Linked DNA regions of Drosophila melanogaster. The protein of the gene in region 1 interacts with the protein of each later gene in a biochemical or structural test. Each region holds a gene or a part of one and is shown in the gene's direction. Other genes may lie near its edges. The genes, in order: Slip1 and slo.

The links.
Region 2: the proteins of Slip1 (region 1) and slo form a complex in vitro, tested with the Drosophila melanogaster proteins (one study listed by BioGRID).

Annotation. Positions count from the first base shown.
Region 1 is NC_004353.4:657,671-671,778, forward strand, and holds Slip1 (SLo interacting protein 1), read left to right. Parts: upstream 1-5,950; 5' UTR 5,951-6,030; coding exon 6,031-6,072; intron 6,073-6,184; coding exon 6,185-6,670; intron 6,671-7,317; coding exon 7,318-7,635; intron 7,636-8,280; coding exon 8,281-9,262; intron 9,263-10,749; coding exon 10,750-10,904; intron 10,905-11,459; coding exon 11,460-11,780; 3' UTR 11,781-12,214; downstream 12,215-14,108. Other genes in the region: gw (gawky), read right to left, coding at 1-14, 232-667; CG46466 (uncharacterized protein), read right to left, coding at 3,485-4,303. UniProt on the Drosophila melanogaster protein: May selectively reduce calcium-activated potassium channel (Slo) currents by reducing the number of Slo channels in the plasma membrane.
Region 2 is NT_033777.3:24,660,525-24,671,899, forward strand, and holds the start of slo (slowpoke), read left to right. Parts: upstream 1-1,966; 5' UTR 1,967-2,039; intron 2,040-3,839; 5' UTR 3,840-4,271; intron 4,272-4,372; 5' UTR 4,373-4,561; exon of another isoform or gene 4,562-4,900; intron 4,901-7,621; exon of another isoform or gene 7,622-8,337; coding exon of another isoform or gene 8,338-8,385; intron 8,386-9,016; coding exon of another isoform or gene 9,017-9,019; coding exon 9,020-9,355; intron 9,356-11,375. Other genes in the region: Ppox (protoporphyrinogen oxidase), read right to left, coding at 1-1,201. UniProt on the Drosophila melanogaster protein: Potassium channel activated by both membrane depolarization or increase in cytosolic Ca(2+) that mediates export of K(+). Its activation dampens the excitatory events that elevate the cytosolic Ca(2+) concentration and/or depolarize the cell membrane.

The DNA of each region.
Region 1 (14,108 bases):
TGACCCGTTACCTCCTTAAATAACAGCAGAAATATAAAAGTATTTCGGGTTAATGAAATAAAAGTTTCTGTAGAACTTAGAATAGGTAATTCCCCAGATAAGGCTCCAACTTCAATTACTACACTTTATGTTTTTATCATGTATTGTTAGTCACATTTTGAGGGAAAAGCTAGAGCCTTTATCTGATCGTTTGCGCTTAACTTCATTAATTCTAATAGATATTAGGCCTACCAGTTGATCCAAGTCCGACGCCAACGACACCTTGTCCCCACTGAGGTCCGCCAGACGAAACAACACCGCCTGGACCGACATTAACTCCGGCTTGGTTTACTCCCACTGCAGCTCCGGATCCCGCGTTGCTAACAGCTCCTCCAGTCCACACACTACTACTATCGGCGCCATCGTCGTCCTCACCCCATGTTCCACCTAAGTTAGAGGATGGTGTATGACCCCACGACGGCTTTGGAACTTGCTGTGCGGCCGGCTGACCTCCGTTTCTCAAATTGGACTCCCAAAGATCAGTACCATTGTTAATGCTTGGCTTCCACATTGGTGGACCGGGTGCATCCTTATTGGCTGGTTCTGGCGAACTGGGAACTTCCCAATTAGTATCCTGGTTAACATGCTGACAGCCCCAGCCATCTTGGGAAAAAAGGGCTTCACGCATAGTGCTCAAGTGTTCTAACTGATTGTCAGCTTCAAAAGTAGCATTCCTTACTATTCCAACATCCACTTGATCTTTAACTTCATTATCATAAGCATTTATGGCAATTTTTAAAAGTTATTTAATTTAATCGAAAAGGAATGACTTAATCTGAATCCTTGTTCTTTCCGTGTTCTGTAGAAATATAGAAAACATTTATTATTTTTATTACAAAATATTCATTCTAAATCAAATTGCTAAGTTCTTTTTTTATTTTCTTGTATATACACAGGATAAATAAACTTAATCACCGTGATACGTTTATGCTTTATACACATTATTAATAGAGTAAAATGGTATATGGTATACCAGATTTGTTCTAAAGTATGTTACATAGCGGAAGCGTTTTCGACATAAAAGCTAGACAGTTGAGAATAAGCATGCAGATTCTAGTGACCCCTACGTTGTGCACGTTTGTTTTTAGTTTTTCTATTGTTCGTTGTTCTTAAAAAATTTTTTAATTCTGATCAGCTTTTCGTAGGCTTAATCAATATCTTCTTTACAGATTTTTAACTGCATAACATCAGTTAAAATTCTGAAGGAGAAATCATAAAAATTTAAGCTTTATAATCGATTCAAAAAGTCTGAGGACATACATATGGGTATATAAGAGTGGGAGTCATTTGACAGGAGTTAAACATGTATACTTAGTATGTACATAAAGAATTTTAAAAATGAAATATGCATCGCGATCGCTGACCTACCAGGTCTGCTGCCCAACCGGCAGAATCCCCACCCACATTAACGACAAATTCCTGTGTGAAAAACGAATGCATGTCAAAAAATAAAACAATTAAATTCACAACTCTGTAATGGTATATAAATATACATATGCATATGTACACAAGTAAAATGAATTTGTCAACTCTGGGCAGGCAGACATTGACGGAAGCACCCTATTTTATGTCTCCCTTTCCTAATTTCGCACTTGCAATTATGCTCAAATAAACTTAGAATTTAAAATGTATTTACACAACCTGTATATATGCAAGTATTGGCAAAAAGACTAATGCGATAGATATATACATGTATATACATTTGTATGAATACATTTTCAGTACTCTAGTGCATATGTAGAGAAGTCATTGTACAATACTTAGTATATTCGCGTGTCTTGTACCCTATGTGTAGAAATACAAGCGAAAAGCTGAGAACGTCACAAAATGGAGATCTAACTAAAACCTACCAAACAGAAATTAGAAATTAATATCTATTGCCAGAATATGCGTTTATAGTAAAATTGAACACTTGTGTATACGCTAATAGTTCACCGAATATTTGCAACAATTTTTGCCTTTACTGAACGAGAAGTTGATTTTCTCTATATATGTAAATATATGTGCATTTTTGTGTGTATGCATGTCAAGCCACTTTGACGAGTTCACAAAGTGTGTATGTGTTGTAAAACATACACACATTCGACAATCAATTATAGTTTTTCATATTTCACAAAATAAACTGGGATTAATAACAATCTTGAATGCGAAAACTGATTAGACTCAACAATAATTATAATTCGATGTAATTGAATATAAATTTCTGCGCACGTTCGACGATGGGGACGGCAGTTACTAGTGTATTAAATAAACCCATACAGATATTCCTGCTTGCAATATTGCCACCTAGTCAAAATTTAAAGACGGAATGGAAAGGTATGTGGAGTATAGACTAATGCAAATATGCAAAATGCTTACTTTATTTTTAATTACACTATTACTAAATTTTAACTGTTGGTGTGGAAAACCTCAAAGCAAATGCGACACATTTAAATTCCCTATTGCTTTGTCATTATGTAAAAGATTTAAAGCGTGGCAACTCTTGACTGGAACATATGTACATATAGACTTTTCCAATGCACGATACACAAGCGAACAGAATTTATTCTGCACTGATACACACATGCGTATGTCCGAAACTAAACGCTTGGGTTTTTGCGACCATTTAGGTTATGCACACTTAGGTTATGTCAGAAAGTTTCGCTTTTAATCGTACTGAGTACGTCTTCAACCATACATTAAAATTATTCTACTTCAATTTAGCTGCATTACTCCGTACATTCTATCCGTGGTGGGCTGTTGGCAATCTTTTCGTTTTAATGACAAAGCGCTTGTTTTCGAAAGATTACGCACACAAAAACATTCACTACTCGTGCTAATTCATTTTAACACACGCAATTTAAATAAAAAGTAACTATACGATGCTCTCACTCGCACTTCGCCTGGATCACGACAGACTCTTCTAGGTAGATGTCCGATATTTTCTTAAACTAATCGATATTAATCAATCTTAGGTAATACCCAGTTTACACAACTGCCTAAAATAAGTGCTGTGACCCGTTCACATCGAAGAGGTCAGATAGAGGGTACACAACAGAAGGATTAATTGATTAAAATAAATTAGCTGATATAATTTAAATTAATTCAAAACAGAGCTGTTTCAAACAAGTTCCAACTCATATAACTCTCGACCATTTCTAACAATTCAAATGAAATTTAAGGGATTAAAACAATACAGTGAGATAACATATGCATTAATAAATTTTAAAGCTTGAATGCCTTATTGAAGTGAGAATTGAAACAGGTTTGGGCAATCCATTAAATTCATAACTTATTTTATTAAGTCTATGTTAAAAAAGAATCCTTAATAATGTAATGTATAAAGTTTGGACTTACGACCGATTAATATTAATGTGTATGTTTTGGTGTTTTGCCTTGAAATCAAATGAAATTATGTTCTAAAATATCGGCTCTCCTTCGACTATCTATGAGATTTAAATAGGTTTTACCAATTGCTAAGAAAATCGAAACCCTTAGGCATTTTTAGTTCAGGGGATAACAGTTTTGTATTTTCGTCTTGACGTGCATCTTTAAATTCGTTTTCATAATCAGACAAGTCGTTTAACACACTGTTTTTCGATCCACATTTAACGAGCAGTTGCATTTTCTCATTAGATTCAATACATTCATCAATATAAACAGTTTGGGTTTTTGAGAAGTTTTCATGAATGGAAATCTTTCTTTCCGTTGTGTTAACGCCGGTTTTATCATTAGAATTAAGGTGGAGAATTGGTATTTTTTTATTGGTTGAATCTTTTGTCTTCAATTTTAAATGAATGGCCTTTTTTACGCCTAATGGAGTTTCAACAAGACAGATATCATCAAATTCTTTTAATACTATGTTAATTTGTGATTTGGTTCGATAAGAAAATGGAAACGAATGTTCATCTTGAAAATCTCCGGTGTTTTCATCGCGTAATATTTTTAAACCAACGTTTTGATAATTATATGTGTGTAAATCTTGGCCGTTATATAAATATACAATGTCTCTGAAACAAAATTTACGGTAATCATTTTTACTAACTTCAGTATTTTCGTACGGATCCTGTGCCGCATAGTTTTCTTTAGTCTTATGACAGTACTTAGAAAATATAACAGGATCTATTAATTGGTTATTCAATATTTTTTCCTGTTCGTTTAAAGTCAATTTAAGCCAAGCGTCTTGGTTGTATGTAGATTTAACTTTATTGAGATCGCAGGTAATTTTTTCGGAAATTGAATTAAGACGTGAGAAGTATGACTGAGCCTCATCGTGTGTTGTCATTTTTGATCTGAAAATAAATATGGTTTGCTGTATTAAATGGTTAGCGGAACGTTAGATTCTATCATAAAATCGAATAATTATATTAACCTGAATTCTTGAAAAAGTATTTATAATTCTTTTATACTCTTCACTCGTAAAGTAAGGGGGTTATTAAAAATTAAAAAAGAACATAACAGGTGAACAAAAAGGTTTCCGAGACTAGTTAATGAACTTCGGGATTTGGACACTATATGATGTCCAAACCGAAAACAAATGCAATAAAAAAGAAATATATAACCTTAGAATCAAATTAGCCCACCTCTCCTTTATTTACATTACTAATTTTTGGTAGCCAGAGGAGTGCTTCCCGACATTACAACATTCATAGGGGCAGACGGAAGTATCAACTCGGATGGGTGTTTCTTTCTAATCTAGACACATACATATGTATGTATATACTACATAGGGTTTATGTGTGTTTAAATTGATATGGGCGTTACAGTTTTGAACGATTTGTAGGTATTTGGTTAAAATTGTTTTTGGCAGTTTTTGGGCGGTTCGTGGTCGTTAGAACAAGCGTGTAAACATTTGGAAACATGTGAGTATAAAATGGGATCGATGCGTTCCTATTACATACATATACTTTCTATGATCGGAGACGGTTTCTTCTACCAATTACATACATTGCAGCGAATCTAATACATATACGATTTTACTTTACAAGTAATGGGTATAATATAGGAAATAAACAAAAATCGGCAAGCCGATTTTTATATGCTTATACTGAATAATATCTATTTATGATCACGAACAGAAAAAATTTGACTTTTCCAAGGCATATGGTCGAAAACTGTTCAATACCGAGATAAAACACTTTCTAACAAAAAAGAAGATATGTATGTATGTTCCCCTTTGTCGAGGTCTTTCTGCCATACATGTAGTATGCATAGTATCGGCAACAGAAAGGCTTTTAGAAAGATTTAGTGAGAAACGGGCGTACGGATATGGCTATGTCCACCTGGCTCTTGACACTTCACATTATTTAGGATATTTTTACTGAAGTTTAAATTTACTATTTAAATAATAAAAATTACTGCGATTTCCCGTTTTAACCATCATACAACCTTAAATACGAATTGATCCGGCTATTTAAGCTCTATATAATTGTATATGTGTATGCTTTAAGAAATACGCATCCATCGATAGATCAAGATAAAAGTATCGGAAATAAATTATTATATTGTGTTCACACAGTTAAGTCACTAAGGCCATTTCCATTTCATTTACATAGCACAAAATTGATACGAAACGACAAGAACTTCAATGACAGGTGCGTATCAAACAATAGTGGTTACAAAAACCATTCTATAGCAACTCTTTTTAGTCAAGGGGCACCTCCGCTTTTCGTGGTTATCAATGCCTAAGCCATTGAAATATTATATTATATTATCAATTTCATTACATCAACTTCAACTTTATATTCAACAATATGAATTGAAAATTGGTACAGTCTGAAAATATGCGTTTATACGAGCGGATAATTTTAATTGCTATGATTTCTCAATCCGTTAACGGTTTCCATTCCGTTGCGAGTTATTAAACGATTACTTAAGAGAATCGATTACAATTTTTATCAAAAAGAATACGTAAATGATATAAATGAAAACAAAAGGTTTGGCCACACTTTCGAAAAAATATGTATACAATTAAATGAAAATAAATATGAGTTTTGGATTTTAAGCATCACTATGAGTATTGCCGACGTGGAGTACGAATATGTTGTGTTAAAAGTAAGTTCAATATAAAGTAGGACTAAGAACCGAGTTCTCGTTTTACCATAAATAGTTCCATTCGTGTGAAATCTGTTTTTTAGCGTTTCAAAATGCACATATTCTGTTTCAGATAAACGGTTACGATATTAGTCATTTGTCGAGGTATGAAGCGGTTCAAAAGTTCCTTCAATCTAAAGAAACCCTTGTCGTAGAAATACGCAGACAGAAACACAATGCATTAGATTTAGAATTAAAACATGGCTCCAATGCCAAAATATCAAAAGTGGACAATCCCGGAGAACTTTCTGTCCTAACTGACAAGTCAGCAGAAGGGACGATCACAGCTGCCAGTGCCTCTCAACAAATAAATTGCCCATCTTCAACATCGTTGAAAGAAATCGAGACGAAAACTCCTGTGGTTTTAACTCTTCGGGCTAGAAGTCATGAGGATCGTTTGGGAAGTCTACAAGCCGCATCGAAGGAAACTCAAACCCAATCTGTCGTTGGTACGGACGTTTTAAAGGATAACGATTTGGTTAACACAATTACCGACAACTTCATAGAGCATGAACACCATTTGTTCGAACAATGCCTGGAACCGGAAATCGACATTGAGGTATTTACCATACATTACTACAGCAGTACCACAAAACTGTTCTGGTCTGTCTTCGCGATGTGCGATGGCGACTTCTCTATACACTTAAGACCCATTCTATGCTTATTTAATGCAAATACAAATTGCGTTTGTATGAGCATTTGTGTAGCGTTTGCTTGGGCTGCGGGCCCACATTCAACCCTTGCCCTTGCGAAGTGCAGAAATTTTAAATGCTCATATTCTCCATATGTACATACATATGTATGTTGCAGTTTTGTTATATTCGTTGAGGAGAGACTATATACCAACACAAGCCATCTGTAGACTTTGAATGATCGAGCGGTCGGACGGGCATAACAGTTATTATTAATATTCACAAAGTTTATTATTAAAATTTTTTGGAGTTGTGTGTACACTGTCACTTGCTAAGTATTTGCACACAATGATATTTAAACAAATTTCGAGAAAGCAAAAAATATCAAATAAAATAAATAAAAATTTTTGGAAGGTATAAGGTGATTGCCTTTTGTACGCCAGTGGTTTATTTACTCTCGCCGTCTACATAAATATTATTGAAACCGATGTATTTATAACAGATCCTAAAACTGTCAGTTGCTTAGATATGTGTGTTGGGATTCAAAATAATAGTATTTTTTTATAATCAACAGGAAGTAACGCTTGTTAAAGGTGTTGAACAGTCAAGCAGCAATCAAATCGGGCTCATTGTTACCTCCTCCGGAATTCAGCAATCAAGTACCGACACGAATAAAGGTGACATACTAGGTAACGTTTTAGAACATAGTGAGGATGTGTTCATCAGTGGTGTACAACCGGAAAGTATAGCCTATCGTGATGGGCGCCTGCGACAGGGGGATCAGATTCTTCGTATTAACGGCTTGGATGTTAAAAACCAGGAGGAGTTAGAAACTCAGATAGCCAGGAGTAGTACATCAGTAACGCTACTAGTTAGTCGAATTCTATACCCTGTAAGTCGAAATTTCTAATACCAAAAAAAAATTCCCAAATAAACACTTAGTTCATAACTATAGTAAGGGGTTATACCACTGTAGAATTTAATACGCTAAAAAATGCGCACCATTAAATTAAAAAAAATATTGTTCGTTCTGGTTTTTAATTTAGATCCGATTTCGACTTGTTGCCTCAGAGTAACCGCCTTCAATCTCGTAACTTAAAATCATGGTTTTGTTTGGAGTATATCTTTATATATATATTTACCTTACGGTCAAATTCGCATACGCTTACTAACGATTTTCCATGAATCCTCAAACTCGTTTTATAAAATATGTGCTTAACCAGGTTAGTAATACTATTAATACCCACATTCCATATAGATGAGATGGGTGTTGGGACTATAAAGTCCATAGCGATATGTATAATATTTGAAAAGTCAATAATGTTAATGGTAAATATTTTTGTGATTGTATTCTTAAAACAGACCGCAGTGGGAGTTGAGAATTTGTAGAAAAATATTATTTATTTATCCAAAATAAGTGCCTACAGTTGTGTGACCCATTGATAACCGATAAAACCATTTTTATTAATCAAAGTATAAAGTTTAAAACTGTAAATATTTTAACTAGCTGCAATATTTTGGAACAAATTTTTTATAGGAAGACGATGATGACGAAGATATACATTTTGAGTATGCTAATACATTTCTGCCAGATGACTATACAAATGTAGTGGATAAATTGGATAAGGTTTTGTTAACTCACGTCAAGTCTTTGGAAGAACTATCCAATAAATCCGCCATGCAATCTGACGAATGCTATCACATACCAGAAAAGAACTCATCTGATTCAAACGTTAAAATATCTTCTTTGGCGAAAAATATCATTGAGCAATCTACCAAGTCCTGTAGTAAAATAAAGCTTCGACCGAATGCAAACTTGGATTATAAAAAAAAATTCAATCTACCTTTAAGCCAAGAAGAAGTTCATCTGCAATATGAGTACGATGAAAGCGAGCACATTTACGAAACCATTCCAGAAGATTCTGAAAGTGAACCAGTGTATTGTTCACCGTACCAACGTTCAAACGACAAGACGTCAATAGGTTGTTCATCTCCAATAGCATCGAGACCGGCCGAATCATTAGAAAGAACAATGCAACAACAAACTCAAAGAGTCGCCCAGTGGTTGGGCTTGAAGCCACAATACCAGAAAACTAGACAAACTCTAGTTGGTCGACCCCCGCCGTTGAAATTAGTACAGCAACCTACTTGTAGTCGTGTTTTTACATTGCGTAGCACCTTAACCAACACAAGCGCATCCAGCAGTAGTGGAGTGGCATACAGCTCTTATGGACAAAATAATGTTGTTACAGGGAACGCCGCGGCTCCTGGCGAAGAGGTCGATAACTCCTCAAGTGCCTACAACACTGGTGATTCTAATAATAGCGCCTCCCCCCATCAAAATACTACAAATCCTGATGAAGCCATCGCCACTGGTCGCAAGCTAGATAGTACTGTTATTGATAGCCCCAATGATCATTTGGATGCCACAGGTGTAAGCACTATGTTGCTATTACCATTCGGCAAGTCTGGCCGTATTGGTCTCTGCTCTTCCAATCTGCCTACAGCGTATGTCAGCGGTATGCATAACAATTATATTTTAGTTGCAGATAGTACGTAGCGTCTGACATATCAGACGTGCTCCACTTTAAAAGCTCTTCACCTTTTACTTTTTAAACTTTGAATTAAATGGTACTAGGCTCGTTAAAAAGCTAGTAAACGGTTGAAGAAAATTTCAAACCCTGTAAAGTATAAATTCTTGATTACTAGACGAGTCTATCTGGTCATGTCCCTCTGTCCTTACGGATGTCGAGATGTCGGTAGATATAAAAGCTAGAAAGTTGAAACTAAAGGCTTATATTTTAACTGGAAAAGTCAATATGTTAATGATAAATATTTTTCCGATTGGATTCAACAAAAAGAGACGCAGTGTAGGTTGAGGAATTGTAGACAAAATATTATTTATCTATCGAAAATAAGTGCCTACAGTTGTGTTAACCATTGAGAATCGATAGAAACCATTTTTATTAATCAAAGTATAAAATTCAAAGGTGTAAATGGTTTAACAAATTTTTATAGGACGACGATGATGTCGAAGATATACATTTTGAGTATGCTAATACATTTTTGCCAGATGACTATACAAATGTAGTGGATGAACTTGATAAGATTTTCTTAACTTACGTCCGCTATTCAATCTGACAAATGCTATCATATACCACCAAAAAAACTCATCTGACTAAAATGTTAAAATATCTTTATTGGCGAAAAATATCATTGAGCAATCTAACAAGTCGTGTAGTAAAATAAAGCTTCGACCGAATGCAAACTTGGATTATAGAAAAAGCTTCAATCAATCTTTAAGCCAAAAATAAGTAAATCTGCAATGTGATTGCGCGCACACCTATGAGGCCATTCCATAAGATTCTGAAAGTGAACCAGTACCAACGTTCAAACAATAAGACGTAAATATATATTATTGATTACTAGACGAGTCTGTCTGGCCATGCCCCTGTGTCCTTAAAAACGTCGAGATCTCGGAAGCTATAAAAGTTATAAAGTTGGGACAGCATGCAGTGATTCTCTCTATCGATATGTCAAAAAATTTGGACCCGCCCATTTTAACGCCATTTTAGAGAATGCTATAGTCAAGTTCCCCGACTATCAGATACCCGTTACTCAGCTAGTGTAAATGCGAACGCGAAATTTCATAATTTGTCTGGGATATCAATAAATATGGGGGAATACAATAAGAAAAAATTTTAAAATTTTTCAAAAGTGTGGGCGTGCATAGACGTTCATGTCCAGAACGACTCGCCTATTGACACTGATCAAGAATATATGTATATACTTTATATGGTTGAAACGCTTTCTTCTACCTGTTAGATACTTTTCTCCACGGGTATAAAACGATTTATCATTTTTGCCTTGATAAAAAAAATTCTGAAGCAATTAACATTTTCAAATTTGTGTAACATTTAACTGAACGTCTTATTATAAGATTTACAAACTGAAAACGATATATCGTGAACTTCATTTAATTACCATTAACATTATTCCACTTCAGAGCGGTATACCAACGTTGGGTCTGAAAATGAAATTCATCCACTTAAAAGCGACATTGAAATACTAAGAGTTAAACCAACTGATGATTCCTATAGTCATTGTCCACAGTTTAACGCCCCAAATTTGAGTAGTTACCACTTTGTTAGTAGTCAAGAGGTAAGTACAAGTTTAATGTATGTGCATATGGGGTAAAATGGTATTAGTAGGGGATTAAAACGAATGGATGACAATGATTTTAACAGTTGACGGTTAAATCTAAGATTTCATTTGAATGTTACACATCTTAATGAATTAAGTATCATCCATTGAAAATATTTTAATAATTTTCTTATAAGTGCATTTACTGAACGTTTTCTATGGGTTTAAAATTTAAAACATGTAAGGATCAACAGGTCAGGAAAATACATATTTTTACCACTATTTACTACTTTATTCAACTTTTTTCTAAGATCATTCCAATAAGAGATCACATGAAAGGAGGTTTTAAATCGATTTTTAGTGAAAAATTATGCATCAAAAAAAGAACAATTCTAAAAACATTGTACATTTTCAATAAAATTCAAAGGGCAAATATACCATATAAGTAGGCTTGCAAATCTATTAAATCTATTAGTATATACATGTATCTCATATTCCATCTCTCTCATATTCCATTGAATATATTTTTTTGCCCATATTCTATAAATAAAAGTTTTGATTACTTTTGTAAAGGTTGCAAACAGATGTCATATTTCAACAAGCTTACAAAAAAATGCTACTTTGCTTAACGGTGAAAGTGCTGAGGAAATACCCATGGTATGGAAGGTTAAAAGGCGACCAGATGGAACGCGGTACATAGTAAAACGGCCAGTACGTAATCGACCCCAAGTTGCATTGCGGAAAAATATGCGTTACAACGAGGTTACCACGACGGAAGACGATACAATATCTGAAGTAAAAATAGGTCGTTATTGGACAAAAGAAGAACGAAAGCGGCATATCGAACGAGCTCGAGAGAAGAGACATCATCAGACGCAGCAACAGCAACAATAGCCACAGTAACATTTTCCTTTTGTACCATTTAAAACTTACATAGCTTTAACAACAGTCTTAAGAACACTAATTGGATTTACTGTCGAACAATTTTATTTGATTGTTATGGTCGTCATCAAAACTTAAAGAGATTATCAAGGTGCAAAAACAAGATTTGTCATAATTCCACTTTAAAATTTTATAATCTAACATTTTTTGGTGTGTCCAAATTGAATTAAAACGTTGTTTTGGGGGTCGTTATAAAATTCAAAAACTGTTCCTATACAAGTTATTTGTTAAAATAATCCCTACAATGCGTATAGTCTTCGTTGATGCTGCCACGATTATTTACGGCATATTACACATGTAATTAATGAAATACTTTCAGTTAGGTATAACATAATAATGCAAGTAATTCTAAGGTATTGTTTATCTAAAATAAAGAAATCGTGAACAAAAACGTTGCTTTCAAATTATCTCATCTATCGAGGAACTCGACTATAGCGATTTCTCTTATTTTGATTTCAAAATAAAATAATAGCTTTCCAGGTCAAATACCTATTTACCAAAACTTCTTTTAACTTCTTTTTGAAATTTAAACTCATTTTAATACCCGTAGAGTAAAAGAGTATACTAGATGTATCAGGTAGAAGGTAGCGTTTCTCACCCCATAAAGTAGATATGTATATTCTTTTAAACTATGGAAGCTAAAATGTCCCGAAACAAAGACGGAGGGCAAGATTTTACCCTCATATTGCCACGCCCACAAACCGCAATTTTTTTTAGCGTTCAGCTAAAAACTTTTTCGAAGACTATTGTCCACAAGCTGCACAAAACGTAGTAAAAAGTTTTGATTATTTGTTTGTGTTATTATTTGCCTAGACAATTTCTATTGGTATACCAAGAAACCGCCCAAAACTGCCTCGCCCAATCTTTTGAAACAGTTTTTTTTTTGTTTTTTCCCAATTTGTATCGATATGCCAGAAAAACGTTAAAATTTATCGTTTTCACTTCCCCTAGCTGAGTTACGGGTATCTGATATCCTGGGATATCGACTATAGGATTCTGTCTAACTTCTAATCCCTGTCTAATCATGGATTCTGATTCGCAAAACAGATTTTCGTTCAACTTGAGATTTTTAGGATCGTCATTCCGTGTTAAGCAAGGGTCAAGTGTGCGCTATCTGTAGACTCATTCCGCATGCTCTTTTGACCTATTCTGTTGACTCTAGAGGGATTATTTGTTGATTTTTGGCGCATGATTTGTTTTAAATTAAAAAAAAACTACAAAATATGTGCTTATAATTTAGTTAATAGTCAAAATTCCCATAATCTAAATCATTGGTTCTCAAAAAATGTATTTGAAATTTATTGAAGTATTTTTATCTATTAATATTATTTCCAATGGGTGTTATATGTTTTACTACTTATTAGCTTACAAACTTCAGGTTTTAATCTAAGAGTTTCCTGTATACATAATTTTTGATACTTTGAGAACAGGGCCAATGTTGCACCGCAACTGCAATATCAATTTTGCTAACTCTTAAGCTATAAATTTCATACACATATGAAACAATAACTTTTAAGTACAAGAAGTAAGCTATTGCATTTATCAGAGCTCTAAGTGGTTCAGTGTCAATGGTCTATAATTAAATATTCCAATATACCGGCTCTCATCTCTGAGACATCGATAGTTGTAATATTTTTGATTGCATTCTTTATCGTGTGTTGAATGCCGGTAATGTCATTAAATTGAATTTGGTGTGCTTAATAAAATAACTGTTGCTGTGTCCTTTTATGACAATTTTGTCAGTACAGTTCATCTAAGGAATCGCTTTCCATATACTAATTAGCCTGCGTACCTCCACCCTCAACCCTCCACCATCTTTCCATACAAAAGGCGTGACGAAATACTGCCGGAATGTGTACCTGGGGATTCAAGTTTTCGAGTGTACACACGTAAATTTTGGGCCACTGGGCTGGCGTTGATAACAGTGTTATTTGTAAAAAATATATCGTGAATTTGCTAATTGATATTACCATGCGTTGTTAATGGACTGCATTTAGACAATAAGCTGCCCTATTTAGTTTAAGGATCGGCGCCTACATAACTATGTATTCATCGTTCATTTAGTATTAGGCGATGTGTGTTTTAGGGAGGGTATGAGAAGAAAAGAAGTTACAAGGGGTGAGTGACACAAAAGTTGTAAGTTAGGGGTTGGTCACGAGCGAGTTAAGTCCGTGATCGAGGGTGGAGCCTTTTGTGAAGATATGATGTGTAAATGTATGAAGGTTTTTAAGTTTCAGCAGATAGTTGTAGTGTGAAGATTTCCAATAAAGAATACGACTG
Region 2 (11,375 bases), on another chromosome or scaffold:
TCTGCACATGGCTGGTGGCTAAGTCAAGAATCTGCTTGGGGCTTGGACGATCACCGAACCACTGGTCGAACCAATGGCCACCCATCATCACGGTAAGCACAGTGTTCTCGCCCATGTCGAAGCAGCAGCTGTCGAAGATGACGCCGAGCAGAGGTAACTTTTCCACTGGCGGCACTAGCAATCCAAAGCCGTCTTGTTTGAGTAGCTTGCCGGGGAACTGCATGTTCACTACCAGCACATCCACGTACGGAATGCTCAAAAGTTGGGCGCTCAGCGAGGGATGCTGCTGCTTTACCAGGGGCGCGAGTTTGTAGGCGGGCAGGGAGCTGACCACATGCTCCACCGGAACTTCGGCATCCTTGATGTTCATTCGAACCCCGGAGCTGCTGAAGGTCAGGTTCCGGCATTCGTTGCTTAGCTGCACGTTCACATCCCGCTCACCTAAGTACTTTCGCATAGTTTTGGGTAGGTTCTCCAGACCGCCTTTCAGCCCGTACATGGCCCACTTCTCCTTTACCGCCTGCGCATACAGCTTGGGCTGTCTTTCGGCAAATAGTCCATCCTTGGTGTCCTTGGTCTTGTTCTTCTCAAAGCGGGAAATGAGTGTGCCCTTGAGCACTCCTCCGTACTTCTGTTCCTTTTCAAAGAGCCCCTCCATCAGGAAGCGCACACTTATTTCTCGCGCGTCACCGGCGCAAATACCGCAGATCATGGGACTGATGGCGTAGTCGGCTATCTCCTTACCAAACCGCCGCTCAGCGAAACTGTAGATGCTCTCATCCTCCAGCTTCGCTTTCTTGCTTGCTGTGAACAGATCGCGAAGAACCGCTTTGTATAGCGGCTTCGTGAAGGGAGGCAGGACGCCGAAGAGACCCTTGGGACTGTTGGGCAGCATGCAGAGCTGTCCCTTGGCATACAGCATTCGGTTGCGTGCTGCGACATGACTGCGTCGAATGGGAGTCACCTCCAGCTTCAGATCCTCCACCAATTCTAGCGTATTGGCACCTGGCTCACCAACTGGGCGTATGGTTCGCGGTCCGCTCTCGAAGATGAAGTTGCGATCCTTGCGATTCTCCGACCGCACCCATCCGCCCACACGGGGCGAGGCCTCGTAGATGGTCAGCGGCTTCCCGAATCGCCGCAACAGGTAGTATCCGGCGGATAGTCCACTCAATCCGCCTCCCAGCACGGCCGTCGTCATGGTCCTTCTGCTGCTTCTCGTTGCTCCCGAATCCCTTAGAGGATTCAGACTAGTTCTGGTTTGCAGACGAAAAAATCTATGCCGGCTTCGATCGTTCAGACCAAAATAAACCCAGGTGACATAACTATCGTTGAAGCTATCGATAAGCTCAAATCCAAAATCGCTGAGCTTGCAATCGATGTTATATGCGATTGAAGAGTTTTGAATTGACAATTCTGCAGAAAATAAAATCAAATAAAGGAAGGGATAAATATTTTATAAAATAAATAGCATTTATTGTTATACTTATTTTGGTAACTACAGCTAACATAATATCTTATAATCGAAACAATGGTTTTAGAATATTTATTGTTAAATTATGTAAAGTTAAATAAAATATAGTGCAATTGATAATACTTAATTTAAGCATTGATACAAGAATACAAATGCATAGTACTTTTATTTGCCATTATTTTATCTCATTTAACATGCATTTGTGCACCCGTCCCAAAAGTATGCAATGAATTTCTTCCGACATTCCTCATACGCCACGTGTGCATCGTGCGGAAGTTCACTTGCACCTGCATCGGCACCATTACCATCATCATCACCATCACCGCGGCACTGGGTCATTCATAGTGAATGGGTTTTGGCGCCAGTTTTGATGAATCGAACGAAGCGTCCAGCCCGCACCAACCGCAGGACTCCGAAAAGCTCCCAAAGACGAGCTTGGGCCGTGCGGAAGTACATTGGGCCACCGATTTCCATGTCGTCGGAGTCGACATCGCGCAGAATTGTATACGCTGCTGACGAGAAAGGTTGGTCCTCGCGTTTGAGCGCGTCGCGTCTTTTATTCTGGGTGTGTGAGTGAGTGGACTGTGTGGAAAAGTGCCTATCGCGTATATGTATATTCACGGGACCCATACACACACACACAGCTGCAGCACTTGGAAATGTGAAAAATTTTCAAGCTGCGTTTGCCAATTACGGGGAAAATTGAGCAAAAAACGTCTTAAAATCCGGGCAATTATCGTGGCCATTTGCGGAACGGCAATTGTGCAAAATTCGGTATCCGTTGAAAACGGGCTCAGTGAACGTGAAAATGTGCCACACACACACTTACAACGCAGGAAATTCAATTAATTAGTGACCGAGTGTGTGTGTGTGTGTTCGCCCATAAAACGGCGATTGTGATTGCGAAAAAAGTGTTGCATACATAAAGGAGCTAAGAAGTGGACCAACGAGCAACACTAAAGGAAAACTCTTTAGAAATACAGTTTTTCGCTTTTTTTTTTGGCACTGCTGCAGGTTTTCATTTAAAAGATACATTTGTTGAAGTCAACACACACGGACACACACACATGCGCATACGGCACAGTTTTTCGTTCGTTTTTAAAACGAGCACACCACAAGTTCCCCAAAACGAAAGGACGAAGGGACCCGACCCGATGATAAAGTCGATGTTCCAGGCCGGAGATACACTTGTATCGTTCCCCTGCCTTTGCCGCTGCTGTCATCGTCAATGTTATTTTTGTTGCTTCCTACTCGTCGTCCTTCGTGTGTCGCAGGATACCTTGGTATATGTGTGTCAGTCAGTCACTGGCCGAGCGTGGGTGTGTGTGTGCGTGCGCCAGGATACGCAGATACCCAGATACCTACAAATGAAGCCACCAAATCCAGGCGAGTTCAATGCGCGGCCAGGACGAAGGACTAAGCTCTGTTTACATTGGCTCACGAATGCCCATTTTCCAAGCCCCCTGTATTTTCCGCCCGTTGGCGTGCCGTGGGAAATTGTGTCGCCTGCTTATTTATTATGAAAATGCAACTTTCATTTGACTCGGCATTTGTCCCGTTTCCATTGTTTGCAGGCACATTAGGCAGCTCGTTAAGCGCATGAAAGTGTGTGTCCTGCGGGTGTGCGAGTGTGTGTGTGTGACACGAAGGGGAACTAAAAACTAGGGCAGTGTGTTTCCGTTTCAACGACATGCCGCAGGCGAAAGAACGAGTCCGTCCGCAGGACAGCAAAGCCTCGCTAATCGGGCAGGAAATGAATAACTTAAAAAGTTACCAATGACAAGTTTGACATTAAATGTATCATATACAAATAACATGCAAACGAAAGTGATAATTGTAAAGCATGTTGTATATTGCCAAAAATTCTAGTTTTTGGTACCACATTGCGTATGCTTAACCAAAATGTGCGACTTTCGCAGGCAAGGAAAAAGCTTTCTGCCCGACAATTTTCGGATTCCCTGCATCGCGCAGCCGCCAATACGCCAGCAGCAATTGTGAGAAATTGAGAGAAATTCTCAGAGAATTCTCCGAGAACTGAGAATTTAAAAACGGCGAGAATAGTGCTGATTTTGCTTTCAAGTCTGCTTCGCATCTTTATTTATTTATTTACTTGACACGCTTGCTTTTCCGGCTACGGAAAATGGTGATACAATGTCTAAAATAATATTAATTTAATAGAATATATATACGAATACAAATATATACGTAATATCATTGACAAATGTCTGCGGTCGTAAAAAAATTAAAAACGCAAATAACGCTGACAGCCTAACTAAAAAATATAATTAATTACCGCGTTCGTCGCGCTGCCTTGGCAAATTAAAAAGTATTTAAATTATCGCTCAACTTAATAAATCTCTTGCAGCTTAACACACAAGGAAAAATTTCGTGGGCAAACAAAGCTAAATAAGTTGTGAAAGGAAACATGAGCAGTGTGACTAAGCGCAGTTTCTAATTTAACCAAATTCCAATTCAAATTCAAAAGAACGAACAACTATTGATCAAGACGGCAAAGAAAGAAGCAAACAAACCAAAACGCACAATGAAACTGATAAGCTTAACGCAGCTGATAACACAATGAAACTCATCCACGGATCCGAAATGCAATTATGAAATAATCAGCAAGCCGCAATCCATCAGCCAGTGAGGAAAATCCAGCCAGCCAGCCCAAGAATTTCCACGTGCAACATTGGCGAGCCGCAGCGACCACAAATCGTCCAAACACATTGATGTGCGATTTGAGCGTGTGAATGTTGGCAGCCCTGGAGCCCTGCCTCGGTGGTTTAGCCAGTACTAGGTGAGTACTCCCAGTCCTTCATCCATTCGCCCAAAAAACACTGTTCCAAATCCCAATTCGATTGCACCACCACCACAACATCCATACACTGTGCCGCATAGAAACCCGAATATGAGAACGGATAGCGAGGGGAAAGCCGTAGCAGCCGCAAGATCCACTTCGAAATCCAGAAAGACCATCAACACCACATCAGCAAGCGGTCCGCCCGGACCGAAACCGGAACGAACATGGCCAGCTGGTGCCCCAATTGCCACGAACTGCCACCGTTCTATCCGCCCATCACGCCAAAGGTAAAGCCCTTGATGTCGTACGTGATAAATCCACAGATACATATTCGTACGCCTCGCTTGTGAAAGACCATCTGAAATTGTAGAAGTCACGTTAGCGGCTCTGCAATGATCTGTATACGGACTACTGGGATTAACCTATCTCTCCAGCTCGTCAATCAATCAATCATCAATCAATCAGTCATTTTTCCAGCGATAGTTCGCAGTGCTAGACGCTGCTACTCTTATCACATTTTGCTCTACTTCGAACATATAAAAGGCAGTGATCTTTAATCCAATAGCTTATCACTTTGTTTTGAATCCAAAGGAGCGAGCTCATTATATTATATATATCATTAAAATGTAAGCCTTATTTCTGTTAATTAAGTGTACAACTTGGTGTAAAACGATAATGTAATCGAGAGATATTTGTAAAATTTGTTGTAAATATATATAATGTACATAATCTTATCAGTACTTAGTAAGTTAAATGGCTCAGTTTATTTACTAGGTACAAACGCTTTTTCCATTTCTTCAAGAATAGTTTATGCTAAGCTCACTTTAATTTAAGAAACCCAATACCACAATCTAATCTTAATTATGCGATCGTATATTTCGCTTCCTGCTTTGAATTCGTTTCGCTCCATTTAATAAATGGGATTCACATCACTTTGGCAACCCATTCGCAGTGGGTCGCGTGACCTTTGTGAATGTGGCACACAAAGAACCCAGTGCAAACACACACACCGACCAAGTGCAGCCTAAGCCCTTTGGCCTTGGCCAATGTCCAATGTCCGATGGGAAAGCGAAAAGACATGGGGGATTGGGGAGACCAGTGGCCGGCAATCAACGGACCCAATCAGCGGGCCAAGTGCTGGCCATAAATTGCTCAGAAAGTCGAAGGGTATTTGTCAGCTTCGTCAGTTGTCGCCGTCTTTGTGCCTTTCGAGCGTTTCGCTTTGACGGACATGCGTCAAGATATATAGAGCTAGCTGGTCAGGGGCTCGCCCACGCCCCCCAAAATCGATAGTTCGCAATGAAAATTATTATCTAGCCACCGGTAGCCGTGTGACTTCATCCGTTTCTGGCCGCAAAATGACAGGGAAATCGGCCTGGTGGTATAATTTATATCGTTCCCTATCTTTTCCACCCGCACTCATAAGGCGCCACCAATTCCATCGACTTGGCGCAGTATCTCTGAGCCCGTTAAGGCGTTTTGACCGAAAAAAGCATTCTCCATTTGGGCCAAAGAATATAGAGCGACCAGTGCTTCTCATGTTATAAATAATTTATTCAACGCCGGCCACTGCAGTTTCGCTTGGATCGATGAAAGTGCTCGGAAGTTAATCCAAACACTAAAAAAAAAGGCAAGCAACTGAAATTTTCAAAAAAAAAAAAAAAAAACGTTTGAATGTGCTTATTTAAAGGAAACTTGATACCACTTCTAAATTCAATCCAATTTTGTGAGTGTGTTTGCTTTGCGAATTACAAATTAACACCCAGTTGTGTGCATTTAATTGAGTTAAAAATAATAGTATTTACAAAGGCCTCAAGTTTAACAAAAAGGTTAAAGAGTAACCCATTTCGGCTTAAAAAAAACATTGTGTTTTAACTTTAAAATTAATAACTTATTATAAACCTCATTACAAAACATTAATGCAATTTAGAAACCTTTTATCCTTAGCTCAAATGTTGAGTTTCGTAAATATTACGTATACGCAATGCTTAAATTCAAGGTGAATGCTGCTTAAAAATAGTCATCAAATATTTAATTGAATAACAATTTTGCTCTTCTTCGCTATTTATAATTGCGTAAATGCAATGAAGCGAAGAACCTAACCGCCCAAGCATCGCAAAAAAATAGAGAGCAGTGAAAAAAAAACAACGATACTGAAATAAAAACTATAAATAAAATGCACGCCACTGGCTTATGATGAGCATGATGATGATGGGAAGGGATAGCAATGCAGGGATGCGAGGGCTAAGGGATGATGAGCAATTATGGCCAGTGGGGCAGTAGTGGAAAGTAGTGGAAAGTAGCGGCAGTGGCATGTGCAAACAAACTGGGCCAACTTGTTACCACGGCTGCCCCCGCAGGAAATAGCAAACAAAGCGCGTAAATTATGAAACGACAGCTAACTGGCGGCATGGCGTGACTCGCCCGAGTTAACTGAAGCAATGGCAGTAACGTTAACGTTCACGTTAACCTGCCTCCCGCCCACCTATACACCCATCCACTGGATCCACCAGCCACTTTTTGGGAACGAGTGTTGCCCGGGGGGCCATGGGGTCACCGAAGAAGGAATGCAAAAAGTGTGTGTATAGGCGCAGAGCACAAAACAAGAGACAAAACCAAAATGAAAAAGCGAATAGAAGCGAACTCATAATTTATTTATTTATACTCGGCCTGCCGTTGTCTCTTCTTCTTGTAACAATAATTCATTGTGGCCAACACACACGCACACACACAACACACTTGCTGGCTGCCCTTGCCAAGGGTTCCACCAATATTTGCATCAATCGAACTTTTTCTATTAAACATTCAAACATGAAATTGTACAAAACAAATTAAAAATATCGTTAGATTATAAGCGGAACTAGAAATTATTATATGTACCGCTTGATAGAACATTTTACTGGGCTAACTTAAGATTAAAGGACAAGCAAATATTGTAAATAAAAAGTTACTCTTCACTATTTATTCAGTAATCCTTCGAATTCTTTAGGATTCGAGTGTCCAAAACTACAAAGGTCCTTCGAATTCGTTGTAACACAACAGTTAGGGTATATCCTCTTTATTCCAATACCCAATTGAATTCGCCTTGTCTTGGCGCTCTGCCTTTTAATTAAATTCAAGTTTGTCGCCCGTACTGACACTTTTCGCGGTCAGCCATATAGCCAAATGCCCGTATAGTCATACAATCCGCCGGAGAGCGAGAGAGATGGCCGGAGAGTGGGTGAGCCAGAAAGAGAGAGGGATGGAGAGCTGTAGCCTCCAAGGGGATATAGATAGATAGGAGCGGGCTCTTTGTAATCGTTGAAACCGTCCCGATGGCACTGGGGCAATTGGAAAACGGCTCGTTCAGTTGGTGGACGCCAGTTGTGCGGTTCGCTCGGTGCCTCCTTTTGATTCAGCTCGATTCTAGACTCTAGACTAAAATCGCGTGCGTGCCGCGTCGTGTGTGCGACATCCGCCATATATATATATATATATAATAATATATACGGCATATACTATACGTATATCTGTGGCTCCGTCTACACCCCCAAAATTCGTACAAATTGCAAATTCACATGCGTATGTGCAGTGATTCACCGAATGAGTGCGTTGGCCTCTGGCCGCAAGTTGTGAATACCCAGTGAATCCCTAATGAATGCAGGCCATAACCACAATCCTAACCAGATTGTAGTATATGTATATATGTAGTTATGGTATTTGGTTGTATGGATCGTAAGATCGGTGCTGTGTAGTCGGCCTTTGCCCAGTGTTATGAGCACTTTTGTCGCCGTGCGTGTGTCGGAGAAAAAGATCACTTTAAAAATAACAGATTTGTTTGATGCTATTTATAATAGACGGGCCAAGTTTTCGTTCCGTTTCGCATTGTGAGGCTGAGGCCTTTGGTGTTCCGAGATCTTTGGTGGATCATTCGTATCTTTCGGATTTCCCAGCGTCTTCTATTCTCTGGCACTCTAGTAGCCTGGCACTCGACTGCACTTGAACGCCATTCGAATACGAATATAGTGGCAATATTAATTTGACAGCGTTTGTGTGTTCGAGTGTCGCAATGTAAACAGCCAAAATGGCAAGCGGTTTGATCGACACCAATTTCAGCAGCACATTGGCAAATGTAAGGATTGTACATAGAACACACTATATACCCTATGCACAGAGAGAACTTTTTCATTACAATTTATTTATGTAATTAAAATAAGAAAAAGTCATAAAAAAGTCATAACATGTGGTTGTTTTTTTTTTAAGCCACATATTAAATTTAAGTAATCCACAAAGCACTATATATAAAAAATATTTTGTGTCACATAAGTTAGATTTATAAAGTAACCAACCAACTGAAACTGCATATTTCATAAAAATGTAAAATGACATTATTTTTCGCCTTCTTTTTGTTGTGTGCACAAATGAATACTCTTTTCGGCTAAGCAAACTAGAGACATTTATTCATGAACTCATTTCATTTATGCGCACCCTTGGCCAGGCACAAATTTTGTTTACATTCGCCAGCGTCGCCAAGTTGAGAAGAGTATAGTATAGTATATACATATATGTGTACGATTGGATTGCGACCGAGTGTCTTCATATATAGAAGGCATTTCGCCGATTTCAAATGTCAAGTGTATGACGTAAACAATGTTTCCGCCAGTTATCGTATTGATTTATGCTAATTATAGTTAGCTAATTGCTAGACCATTGCAACCGAACTAATTGCTAACGCTTTTCGAATTCGAATATTGTGATTGCAGGGGATGTCGGGGTGTGATCAAAGCACTGTCGAATCATTGGCCGACGATCCAACAGATTCACCATTCGACGCCGATGATTGTCTCAAGGTGCGCAAGTACTGGTGCTTTCTGCTGTCCAGCATCTTTACATTCCTTGCTGGCCTGCTCGTGGTGCTGCTATGGCGAGCCTTCGCATTCGTTTGCTGCCGCAAGGAGCCGGACCTGGGGCCCAACGACCCCAAGCAGAAGGAGCAGAAGGCATCCCGCAACAAACAGGAGTTCGAGGGCACCTTTATGACAGAAGCGAAAGACTGGGCTGGAGAGCTTATCTCGGGTCAAACAACAACTGGTCGAATTTTGGTGAGTACCCTCCACATTGGACGTCGTCCATTTATCATTTATGAGCCCCCTTCTTCGTATGGTTTGGAAAGTGGCCCGAGCATATGGTCACATTTGCCACACTGCGGGAAATATTGGTGGTTTCTTATAATGGAATTAAAGAAAAATCAAAAAGGAGCATTTTTTAACTTGTAGATTGCCTTTCGTTACTAGTCTGTTACTACATTGAATGTTTCTTAAAAAAAAGTTTTATATGGGAAGACCTTATCATATATATAGACAATAATTTCTGTCATGAAGGACGAAATTAAGAACATATATAAGCTTAAATTATCATTTAGTTTTGTTTTGGTTAAATAGAAAGGCGGGTTATTGGGTATGCATCAAGTATAATCTTCAAGACAGTATATTTACTGCAAGAGATGCATTCCCTGAAGTTCAGTAAACGAAGTCAACCCACATGCCATCAAATACTTAGTTATTTCTGCAAGTGCCATTTCTTTGAATGCCAAAAGCCGATGAATTATTCAGGGATCGAGTGGGTATATGGTTGTCCGTAGCAAGGAAAACACTAAGGTGTCCTTGTCCATCGTTGCAGCTGGCGAAAGTGCCATCGCCTTGCATTTGGAGCAGTTTCCAGGCACAATCGACTCTATGCCACCATTGGCTGCCACTTGCGTGTGTAATTTGTTTGCGATTGCTGACTGCGGTGGATTCGGGGGAAGCATTTCGTGTCAACAGCGGAAGCAGCAAAGTAAATGCGCCATTTCCACGTACAATAAATACATGAGCACAAATTGAGCGGGAGGTGGGTGCAATTCGAGGGTTCATTTCAATTAAACTCTGCCTGCGTACGAATTAACTACGATGGTTTTGTGGCTCTTGCCCCACTTCCCTCACAACAGAGCGATGAAAAACGGTTACTTGTTCAAATATTACGCATACGTCATGGCGTACCGACCCATCCATTAACTGGCCTTAGTTAATTACTCACACTGGCTCAGCGGCAATTTAGTGGGTCTTATTGGGCATTGTGGTTTAATGCGCTCGATAAGTATTTCTAGATTTGATGTTGCCGACACATTGAGTGCGAGCTTATCAGCTGAATATTTGCATTTGTCTGGGCGTCTTTAGGTGGGAGGGACATGGTAAATCCTCTTTGAGTGTATAAATGTACTCCATGATAAAAAATATAAGCTTTTATTTAGTTATAAATAAATTAGAATATATTGTAGCAGCTGTTTCATGAACCATGGGAAATTGGTATATCATTTCTGCTGAACATATTATTCTCTGTACGATAAGCTTCGTTACAAGTAAACTTTGATTGCCTATTTGTAAGTTCTCGAGTGAACTAGATTCTTTGACAAAAGCGACAAGCTCTGGACGATTGTAAGGGGTCAAGGGTGGGACATCCGTAAACTTGCACCACGCATCCTCCCATCCTCCAAATCCTCGCCAGGCAGTTCGACGCTGCCTCGTTGTCAACTGGCGCACAATGGCACAGCGGTGGGGAACGCGCATTGCCATGTAGCATGTGCTCACATTTGGCATTAAACGCGCCCCCCGCTTTTCCGATTTCCCATTTTCCGACCGCCCGCCGTGTGGTTAGTTGTGTCTGGCATATTTATCGATAGTTTCGCCCTCGTCCTGCGGTACTATGCTACTTTTTTTTATTAGTTTATTATTTTTTTTTTTGTATATTTTATTTAAAATTGATTCACATTTTCATTTTATGGCTAAAATAAATGAAAATGCCTGTCGCTCTTGTAGTCAATTTGAACTTTTGGCTAATAGCAGGAAACGGGCTGCGAGGAAATGATGTATGCATATGCTTTTGGTTGGGAGTCAGTGGAGGAGTGGGTGGCGTTTGCCCAAGGAACCACAACAAATAACAGTAAATAATATGGCAAATGCCAGGATAGAAGCCGTTTGAAAGGGAAATGTTACCAGAAGGAAAATCGATGAAACAGCGCGCACATTTCCACTTTCACCCACTGCGGAGTGGGTTGTAAGTGGGCGGAAAGTGGGCGGCAGATTG